Linked DNA regions of Saccharomyces cerevisiae S288C. Changing the gene in region 3 together with the main gene of any one other region gives a genetic interaction. Each region holds a gene or a part of one and is shown on either strand. Other genes may lie near its edges.

Region 1 (3,888 bases), on a different chromosome or scaffold from region 3:
GGGAGGATCATATACCCCATGGTACTGAAATGTATGCTTTATATATATATATATATATATTTATATATTTATGCATGAAAAATGAGGAGTTCGGAAACAGAAGTTTTAAAAGTTACAGATTTATTGTATAAAAGATACACGCCACTGGTTGAATGTAAATGTTAAAATGAATTGGCATGGTCTAAAAATCCCTCGTAAATCTTGCTTAATTCATAATGGTAACCATGGATACCCTGGGATTCCAAAAATATGGGTAGGCGAACTCTTGTTCGTTCCGCGATACCTTTTAACCTCACAATATCAGTCCCATTCAATCCTGCTATGTTCTTGCTGGCTGAAGACGTTTTAGGGACTTCTTTGCAATTATCATTATCATCAGTTAGAATTACAAATATCCTGTCAAGGATGAAGAAGAGTTTGAATAATTTGGATAAAGTGTCATTAATCTCTGAGTCTTCCATATTTTTGAATGTAAATTTTTCAACGTAATCGATGAGATCGTCCGCAATTTTTATTAAATAGGACCCTTGACCAAAATAACTAGAATATCCGCATGTATCTTTTGGGTTTCGGGAATCTGGGCAATGTCTCTTTTCTTCTGATTGAAGTAAATAGTCTGAGTTTGGAACATGGGCAATAGAATACCAAACGAAGTCAACTAAAGTTTTTAAATCCTGCAGCAGCGGAGTAAGACTGGCATAGCCGTTTTTGATATTCAGGCCCCTGGATTGAACAAATTTTCTTTGAATTTGTAAAAGCTGATCATCAACGTAAGAGATGAATTTGGATTGTTGAGACATTGACAATCTTCTCGGGTGTGACGTTCCATTGTGATCATTTGGCAATAATTCACTCAGCTTTGTGGCAGACGAAAAGGGAGAAGACACGTTTATTCTAGGCTGGAAATCGTCAACATCATCGAGCATAGTTACGTCGTTGATTGTGTTGTTAGTTTCATTGTAAACATCATTGAATTCTGGTGTATGATATCTTCTTTTCTTATTACAATTACGCTGCCATATAACGTTGTCTATGTTAGAATTTACGACATCACCTGAGTCTGCACTAATTTCTACATCTGAGTTTGGATCCAAGTTTAAATCATCAATGTCTTTTTCATCTAGATCATTTAAGTTGTTCAAGTCCAGTTGCTCATTCGGTTGAGCATGTAATGGTGTGTTTGGCTCAGACATCAAAATACTGTGTTGAAATCTTTTATTTTTATAATATTTCTTTCCTTACCAGGGCTTGGAGTCTCTACAACAGTTAGCTTACTGTTTATTCTGCCACATTTCCACCCTTTTGTGGGGCTTCTATTTCAAGGACCTTCATTATGGAAACAGGGCGAGGTTGTTTGTTCTTCCTGCATGTTGCGCGCAGTGCGTAAGAAAGCGGGACGTAAGCAGTTTAGCCATTCTAAAAGGGGCATTATCAGAATAAGAAGGCCCTATGAGGTATGATTGTAAAGCAAGTGGTGTAAAATTGTGTGCTACCTACCGTATTAGTAGGAACAATTATGCAAGAGGGGTCCTGTGCAAATAAAAAATATATATCTAGAAAAAGAGTAGGTAGGTCCTTCACAATATTGACTGATAGCGATCTCCTCACTATTTTTCACTTATATGCAGTATATTTGTCTGCTTATCTTTCATTAAGTGGAATCATTTGTAGTTTATTCCTACTTTATGGGTATTTTCCAATCATAAAGCATACCGTGGTAATTTAGCCGGGGAAAAGAAGAATGATGGCGGCTAAATTTCGGCGGCTATTTCATTCATTCAAGTATAAAAGGGAGAGGTTTGACTAATTTTTTACTTGAGCTCCTTCTGGAGTGCTCTTGTACGTTTCAAATTTTATTAAGGACCAAATATACAACAGAAAGAAGAAGAGCGGAATGAGACCGTTGTATAGCTGCAACCTTGCAACCAAAGATGATATTGAGATGGCAGGTGGCGTAGCTCCTGCTCACCTGGAAGTTAATGTAGGCGGCTATAATACAGAGCAGACAATACCTATAGTAAAGCATCAGCTCGTGAAAGTTGGGAGAAATGATAAGGAATGTCAACTCGTTCTAACGAATCCCTCTATCTCCTCTGTTCATTGCGTGTTTTGGTGTGTCTTTTTTGATGAGGATAGTATTCCAATGTTCTACGTTAAAGATTGTTCTCTTAATGGAACGTATTTGAACGGTTTGCTTTTGAAAAGGGACAAAACGTATCTTTTAAAACATTGCGACGTTATTGAATTATCGCAGGGAAGTGAAGAAAATGACATTAAAAAAACACGACTAGTTTTTATGATTAATGATGATTTACAATCTTCTCTGGACCCAAAACTTTTAGATCAAATGGGTTTTCTGAGGGAAGTAGACCAATGGGAAATAACAAATAGAATAGTGGGTAATGGCACTTTCGGTCATGTTCTGATCACGCATAACTCAAAAGAACGTGATGAAGATGTCTGTTATCACCCTGAAAATTATGCTGTGAAGATCATTAAACTAAAACCAAATAAATTCGATAAAGAGGCTCGAATCCTTTTGAGACTGGATCACCCAAATATTATCAAAGTCTACCATACTTTCTGTGACAGGAACAATCACCTTTACATATTCCAGGATCTTATCCCTGGTGGTGATTTGTTTTCTTACCTAGCTAAAGGCGACTGTCTAACTTCCATGTCAGAAACTGAATCGCTATTGATCGTCTTTCAAATTTTGCAAGCTTTAAACTACCTTCATGATCAAGACATTGTTCACCGCGATTTGAAACTAGACAATATTTTGTTATGTACGCCAGAACCGTGCACTAGAATCGTCTTGGCAGACTTTGGTATAGCTAAAGATTTAAATTCCAACAAAGAAAGAATGCATACTGTCGTAGGCACTCCGGAATACTGCGCTCCAGAAGTTGGATTCAGAGCAAACAGAAAAGCATATCAAAGCTTCTCAAGAGCAGCTACGTTAGAGCAACGAGGTTATGACAGTAAATGTGATCTTTGGTCTTTGGGTGTCATTACACACATTATGTTAACAGGGATCTCGCCTTTTTATGGAGATGGTTCTGAGAGGAGTATTATTCAAAATGCAAAAATTGGGAAGCTGAATTTCAAACTGAAGCAGTGGGATATTGTTTCAGATAATGCCAAGAGTTTTGTCAAAGACCTTTTGCAAACTGACGTAGTTAAACGATTAAATAGTAAGCAAGGTCTCAAACATATTTGGATTGCAAAACACTTAAGTCAATTAGAGAGATTATATTACAAAAAGATATTGTGCAATAACGAAGGCCCTAAACTAGAAAGTATAAATTCAGACTGGAAAAGGAAGTTACCCAAAAGTGTTATCATTTCTCAGGCAATACCGAAAAAGAAGAAGGTTTTGGAGTAATCATAGGATTATCTCTTCCTCTTTCAAACTGCGCGTAGTTCAAAATAAAAAGGTATCTGTGTAAAAAAAAAAAAGTAAGTCAATTGTATGATTTTTAAGTAAAAGTTGCCCTTTTCTACTAGAAACGGCGAGAAAAAATGATAGTAGTGTGCCAAGAAGAATATGAAGTTACTTTTTAAAAGATATTCGTCTAGTCATATTGGTAAGCTGATTAAGGACTCTTTAATCACTCCTGAAATACTACCACAGCTAGGGCGACAGCCATCATCGCATAAACGTTTACCAAATAACAAAAGAACTAACTCAATAACTGATAAATGGTTGAAGGATGCGCTAACAAGAAAAGATAAACTGAATGAAGATAAGCTCCAAAATGTAAATTTACGATTAAATGTGGTACTGACTACTCTACAGAAGCTTCGTACATCCGATAATCCTGCTTTGTATTTTGCGTTGTTGAATCGTATTGGCACAGGTCACATAAAATGGCTAAATAAAAG
Region 2 (4,374 bases), on a different chromosome or scaffold from region 3:
TATAAATTTAATGATGAGACCATCACCGGCCATGGTAATGGAAATGGGGGAGCATTATTACGGTTCGTCAAGAAGGTGGAAAGTATTTTATATGCTACTGCAGAAGGATTTGAAATGAATGATGGTGAGGATGAATTGAATGATAAAAATCTGGGTGAACATGGAACTGTGCCGAATCAGGGCGGCTATGCGAACAGCAATGGCGAGGTCAATGGTAACGAAGGTAGTAACCATGATGTGATAATGCAGAACGACGAAGGTGAGGTTGGCGTGAGCAACAACTTGATCATCGACGAGGAAACTTTTTAAGTTGAGAACTAAAAAGCAGTATTGTTTTCGAATATGTATTATTTTTTTTTATTTTTTTTATTACTCGTTATCAATATATATATATACATGTATATTATTACTAAAAGAATGAGAAAATAAGATAGGATCCTGGAAGGGGGATCAGGTAAAGATATAAAGTGAGATGAAGAAGCCACCGTTTTATTTCCCCTTTAATTTGTTGCTGCAGGTGCCTCAGGCGGTTCGGTATTGCTCTTTGGATCCAAATATTTTTCAAAAGCCTCGTTCCTTTCCTTGAATGGCCTTGGACCCAATAATCTAATCATGTCTTCTCTAGTAATTGCTTCCTTACGTAGCAATTCTTTTGCGACAAGATCGACTTTGTCCAAATTTTTGGTTAGCAATTCTGTACAAGCTCGGTGTGCATCATCTACTATAGATTTAACTTCTAAATCAATGGTTCTTGCCGTTTTATTACTGAAGGGTTTGTTAACTTTGAAGTTTCCATCATTCTGATCAAACGACAGGTAGCCAATCTTGGGTGACATTCCTAGGGATGTAACCATGGCATTTGCCATCTGTGTAACCTTTTTGAAATCATCATGAGCACCGCTAGTCACCGATGGAAAATGTAGCTCCTCAGAAACACGGCCACCAAGAGCCATGATCATTCTATGTCTGAATTGCTCCTCAGATATCAAATATTGATCCGGTGGTAGGTACTGGGCATAGCCTAAAGCACCTTGTCCACGCGGGATGATGCTTACTTTCAGAAGTGGATCCGCATATTTTAGAAACCAACCACAAACGGCATGTCCTGCCTCATGATAGGCCACTGACCTTTTTTCTTCCTTAGAAAGGACTCTTGTTTTCTTCTCTAGTCCCGCAATGACTCTTTCAATGGCTTGCTCAAAGTGATGGATAGTGATATATGGGTCATTATGTCTGGCAGCGATTAATGCAGCCTCATTACAAGCATTAGCGATATCTGCACCAGTAAAACCTGGAGTAAGCGTAGCCAATTTCCCAGAAAGATTATTCATATCATCTGTAAGAAGGGGATCCAGATTCAGTCTTTTCAAGTGAACCAGGTATATTTGCTGCCTACCATTGACATCAGGAGAATCAATTTGGATATGTCTATCGAACCTTCCCGGTCTCATCAAAGCATTATCCAACACATCGGGCCTATTTGTACCCGCAAGGACTACGACTTGGTCGGAAGTAGTGAATCCGTCCATTTCCACCAATAATTGATTCAGCGTAGCTTCTCTTTCATCGTTAGCGCCACCGAGAGCGCCGCCTTTGCCTCTTTCTTTACCGATAGCGTCAATTTCATCTATAAAGATAATCGAGGGGGCCATAGACCTTGCTTGAGTAAACAAGTCTCTTACACGTGAAGCACCCACCCCAACGAACATTTCGACGAACTCAGAACCTGATACTGACAAGAAGGGCACGTTCGCCTCACCTGCGGTGGCCTTGGCCAAGAGAGTCTTACCGGTACCTGGGGGTCCAGAAAGAATAGCGCCTCGTGGAATCTTGGCACCCAATTTAGTGTACTTACCTGGGTTCTTCAAAAAGTGAACAAATTCCATGATTTCCTGTTTAGCTTCATCACAACCGGCAACATTTTTAAATGAAATTTTAATGTCTGTTTCCTTATTGAAGAGCTTTGCTCTGGATTTTCCAACATTAAACATGCCGCCGAGGCCTCCTCCACCACCACCATTGGCATTTGGTGGTGAACTATTTATTTTTCTGGTTATGAAGTAAAGGCCACCAAGCAGAATGATGGTGGGCAGGAAGGGGAACAAAAATGTGAAGGGAGAAGATCTCTCAATGTATTTGATGGGGATACGATCCCGAGGAGGAATGTTCAAGAGGTCCTGGATCTGGTCCATCTGTTCCTCAAAAATATCTACTGAACCAATGGTGAACGATACAACTTGCTTTGTATTGACTAATTCGGCCTCTACGAGAAACTTATTAACGACGTAAATCTTGGACACAAGACCCTTCTCCAGGTATTTTGTTTTGAAATCCTGGAAAGTCAAGACGCGGTTAGAGTCGTCTCCTGAGTTGTTACTGGAAGGTGTGAGCAAAGTAAATATAATTGTGAATCCGATGGTCAAAAACATCGTATTAGCAAATTCCTTAGATCTGAAGTATTCTGATAATGAACCAAACTCATTTCTTTTGTCTTTGCCATCTTCTTTATTGCTATTATTATCTTTATTACCATTGTTCTTGCCCTCACCCTCTTTGTTTGGCCTATTTTCATTTAACCTTGTCCATGAGATATGGAAGGAACGTATTTGGGTAGAACGGTGTATTGTGTTTCTGGTTGCCAGACCAGATAACGTCTGCAAACGCTGGTGAACTGGCATGCGCGAGCGAAGCACTGGCTTCACTGTTGATATGCGGCTAGCTTTACCAAATGAGAGTGATGTCAATGAGCGTGGCGCACCCCTTGCATATCGTTGCCACATCATCATCACTTAGTATATTATAAAATAAGTGGATGATGCCTTTATTTGAAGACTGCGTTAATCTCCTTTAATATAGAATGGGTCCTTGTAAAAGTTATGTATAGACAGTAAGAACCAATTTATTCCTCATCTAAATCATAGGCCCAGAATAAACTGAACAGATGCGTATAAAGGCGTTATAAAGATGCCAGAAGCATATCGCGGGCCACGACTAAAAATGCCGCGAGGTCGCCCTGGACGGTAAGCACGTGCTCAAGTGTTGCCCGACTCTTGGGGTCCAGCGCCGGGTGAGAGTTTCCGATCACGTGGTCTCCGTGCATCGCGACTTCGATCCAGCAGCGTGAATCATCGCCGAATACGAAACGTACGTCATGCACATCGCTGGCTCCGGGTAGTACACGAAGCTGCAACAGCCGTTCGTACAGTGCGACCTCTGCGGCATCGTTACCCGACTGCGCAGCCCAACGTGCGCGTAATTGGACACACTCTTTACCACGCTGTTGCAGCAGCGAGTCCAGCTCGCGCGATTGGGCTGCTAAGGTCGACTGCCGTCTAGATAACTCAGATTCACGCTCGTGATAGCTTCTCCACTGCTCTCTGGTGGTATTTGTAGCTTGTTGGGCCGCATGTATTTGTTGCTGCAGAGCGGTGCGCTGGGTGGCAAGCCGTTGCAGTTCATCTATGAGATGTTGGTGTTGGTTATGTAATTGACGCATTTCCGCTTGGAACTGTTGCAGCTGTTGGCGCGCGTGGTTTTGCTGACGTGCCAGTACCTGGGCCACGTCCTTTTGGAACCCGTCCATCCGGCGCTCAAGGTCCGAAAATGCGTCTATGCTGGCCATTCTTGTATGTGTGTATGTGTTGTATACGTATGAGCGGTTTTAATTGAATCGGCTTAGCCTGTTTTTGTTTTTGTTTTTGTTTTGTTTTGGTTTGGTTTGATTTATTTTGGTTTGGCTTAAATCTTCGAGGAAATTTGCGCTTTCCGCGTAAAAAGGGAAAAAAAGCAGATATATGTACAACAGAAAAGACAGAGATGTTCACGAGAGGAAGGAAGATGGTCAATCTGAGTTTGAAGCACTGAACGGGACCAACGCAATTATGTCCGATAATAGTAAAGCGTATTCCATAAAGTTTCTGACCTTCAATACATGGGGGTTAAAATACGTCTCCAAACACCGTAAAGAAAGACTCAGAGCAATTGCTGATAAATTGGCGGGCCACTCAATGCTTACGCCAATATCTGACGAGTTGTTGCCCAATGGTGGAGATAGTAATGAAAACGAAGATTACGACGTGATTGCCTTACAAGAAATCTGGTGTGTGGAAGACTGGAAGTATCTAGCTTCTGCGTGTGCCTCCAAGTATCCGTATCAGCGTTTGTTCCATTCTGGTATTCTGACGGGGCCTGGGTTGGCCATACTGTCCAAGGTCCCGATAGAGTCGACCTTTCTTTACCGGTTCCCGATAAACGGTAGACCGAGTGCGGTGTTCCGTGGCGACTGGTACGTAGGGAAATCTATAGCAATCACCGTATTGAACACAGGAACCCGCCCCATTGCAATAATGAACAGTCACATGCACGCCCCATACG
Region 3 (2,537 bases):
AGACTTTTTTTTAAATCTATTAGTTCTCCTATTTGTGAATACAGCGCTTGTGATATAGTGAAGAGAGTTTTCACTGATTCTTTTTTATCCTTTTCCAACATCACATTCATGCTTTTCAAAAATTCTTGACTATTGAATTCTTCTTCTTCTTTATCAAGTACATTTCTGCTTCTTGTTCGCATTTCTGATACCAGTACCTCAAAGCTCTCTGCCATTTGGTCTTCAAGCTCGAATTTAGATTCATTCGGGGTAAACATTTGCCGCAGTCGATCGATGTTTACTGTTATAATATCTCTAAAACTTGCATTTTCGTCAATTTCCCTCTTAATTTTATTCAGCTTACCATTGATTGAATGATTTAGAATCTTTACAGATTTTTCGTTCTCCAGGAGAGATTCAATATTAATGAACTTTTGTAAAGAATCACCCTCTAAAGCAGTCAACTTACTCAAGGTGTCATTGAAGCATTTTTCCCATTTTGAAGTCATACCATTGTCTACCAGCTGATTTAAAAATTGAACGTTTGAGTTATACAAACTTTCTACATCAAAGCAGTACAGCTTCAAATATTGTGAGCAAACGGTTAAGCCATCAAAAATACGCTTAATATGGGCTATTATGTCTGGTATGAGGCTCTTAAAATAATGTACATCTATTTCTAAAGCGCTTAGCCAACCAAGGTTCGTCGTCAGTAAGCTAGTTACGGAATGGTAATTTAAACGCGAAAGATCTACGTCTGCGTCCTCCAAAGGCGAGGGCATAGGCTTGATCATAATAGTATCGCTACCTTGGTATTGAGATATATGACTATTCTTAATTAAATATTCCAGAGTCTCTGTCAAGTCGTTGGAATTAGGGGAGTTCATGGGATTAGAATCCTTAGACGTTAAAAGATTTGTTGGTGTCGGTTTACTAACAAGTGAGAATAGTCGTCTGTCGTAAACGTAAAAATCATTTAGAGTAAAAGACCTATTAATAAGCAGCTCTTTAAACATCGACGGTTTTAGTTTGTTACCATAAGGTAGTAGAATCAGCAGCTGATCGGGAGGAATCTTCCATTTCCTAGCAATGAACTGTTTAAATTTGTCCAGGGAAACGAAAAAATCAACATTCGTAGTTATACATTCTCCAGATATTGCATTTATGATAGTGGCTGTTGTCTGCAGTGGTGTTATTTCTTGCTGGGTAGGTGCAGTGCTATATTCATCAGCGTCTGCCATGATGTATAAAAGAAAATAAAAGAAGTACTTTCCGAACAACAACAGTACACTAAAATAATCGTTGTTCAAAGGAGGACTACTTTGGTTCTGATTTGAGAAAATGGTACTCAAATAAGGGCATCGCTATTATATAGTTCCATTCCTACCAAGAAACCGGGTAGCCAAAAGCGATAAAAAGGCTCTCCATGGCAAGCCTTATTAAAAATAATAATCATGAAGAACAAAGTTTCACAAGAGATTACAAGATAAAAAAGCCACTACTACAGAAAAGGCGTTGGGTCAGGACATGGAAATAGTGTACAAGCCATTGGACATACGTAACGAAGAGCAGTTTGCTAGTATTAAAAAACTAATAGATGCGGATCTATCAGAGCCGTACTCGATATACGTATATAGGTATTTCTTGAACCAATGGCCCGAGTTAACGTACATTGCCGTTGACAACAAGAGTGGAACGCCTAACATACCCATTGGTTGCATAGTGTGTAAGATGGACCCGCATAGAAACGTGAGACTGAGAGGATATATAGGAATGCTAGCCGTAGAGTCCACATACCGCGGGCATGGCATAGCAAAGAAACTAGTGGAAATTGCCATAGATAAAATGCAAAGGGAACATTGCGATGAGATCATGTTAGAAACAGAGGTGGAAAATTCGGCGGCTCTAAACTTATATGAAGGAATGGGTTTCATCAGAATGAAACGGATGTTCCGCTACTACTTGAATGAAGGGGACGCCTTTAAACTGATATTGCCGTTGACTGAAAAGAGCTGCACTCGGTCTACGTTCCTAATGCATGGCCGGCTGGCCACATAAAAGGAAAAACACTCGATGATGATAAAATATATATTAATAATACAATTTTTTTATTTATTTATTTAATCATATGTATAGATATAGAAAAAGGGCAGTAGAGAAAAGAGGAATAGAAAGGAGAGAGATAATAAAGCAAGTTTCAAAAAGAACAAGAGGAAAAGAAATTAAATCACACAGACAAAAACGCGGGGAGGAAGTATCCCTAAGCCAAAGTGGCGTTATATAACTCCTTTTCGGATTCATATCTCTTCTTATCGGCCTGGGCCTTGGCCTCGTAAGGCTGCTTTTCCTCTGGCGTTAGAGCCTTCCACTTCTCACCCAACTTCTTGCCGACTTGTCCAAATGTGATATCTGGATTTTCAGAACGAACAATATCTCTGTTTTCGTTAGCGAAAAACATGTAGGCGGACAAAGCCCTCTTAGGGGCATTTGGGTCCTTCTTCTTTCTAGTGGTTCTCTTCTTAGGTTCTCTTGGGGTGACCATTGCGACTGTGCTTTAC

The links. Genes that interact genetically often act in the same process or in processes that back each other up.
Region 1: mutations in MAK3 (region 3) and MEK1 together harm fitness more than expected from each alone (negative genetic interaction), as found in Saccharomyces cerevisiae (3 studies listed by BioGRID).
Region 2: mutations in MAK3 (region 3) and AFG3 together harm fitness less than expected from each alone (positive genetic interaction), as found in Saccharomyces cerevisiae (2 studies listed by BioGRID).

The regions. Positions count from the first base shown.
Region 1 is NC_001147.6:994,518-998,405, reverse strand, and holds MEK1 (serine/threonine protein kinase MEK1), read left to right. Parts: upstream 1-1,894; coding exon 1,895-3,388; downstream 3,389-3,888. Other genes in the region: TFIIH complex subunit TFB6, read right to left, coding at 162-1,193; MNE1 (Mne1p), read left to right, coding at 3,551-3,888. UniProt on the Saccharomyces cerevisiae protein: Probable protein kinase required for meiotic recombination.
Region 2 is NC_001137.3:189,003-193,376, forward strand, and holds AFG3 (AAA family ATPase AFG3), read right to left. Parts: upstream 2,787-4,374; coding exon 501-2,786; downstream 1-500. Other genes in the region: microtubule-binding protein BIM1, read left to right, coding at 1-309; kinetochore-associated Ndc80 complex subunit SPC25, read right to left, coding at 2,957-3,622; ISC1 (inositol phosphosphingolipid phospholipase), read left to right, coding at 3,795-4,374. UniProt on the Saccharomyces cerevisiae protein: Catalytic component of the m-AAA protease, a protease that plays a key role in proteostasis of inner mitochondrial membrane proteins.
Region 3 is NC_001148.4:663,454-665,990, forward strand, and holds MAK3 (peptide alpha-N-acetyltransferase MAK3), read left to right. Parts: upstream 1-1,506; coding exon 1,507-2,037; downstream 2,038-2,537. Other genes in the region: autophagy protein ATG11, read right to left, coding at 1-1,220; NHP6A (high-mobility group nucleosome-binding protein), read right to left, coding at 2,240-2,521; YPR053C (uncharacterized protein), read right to left, coding at 2,335-2,537.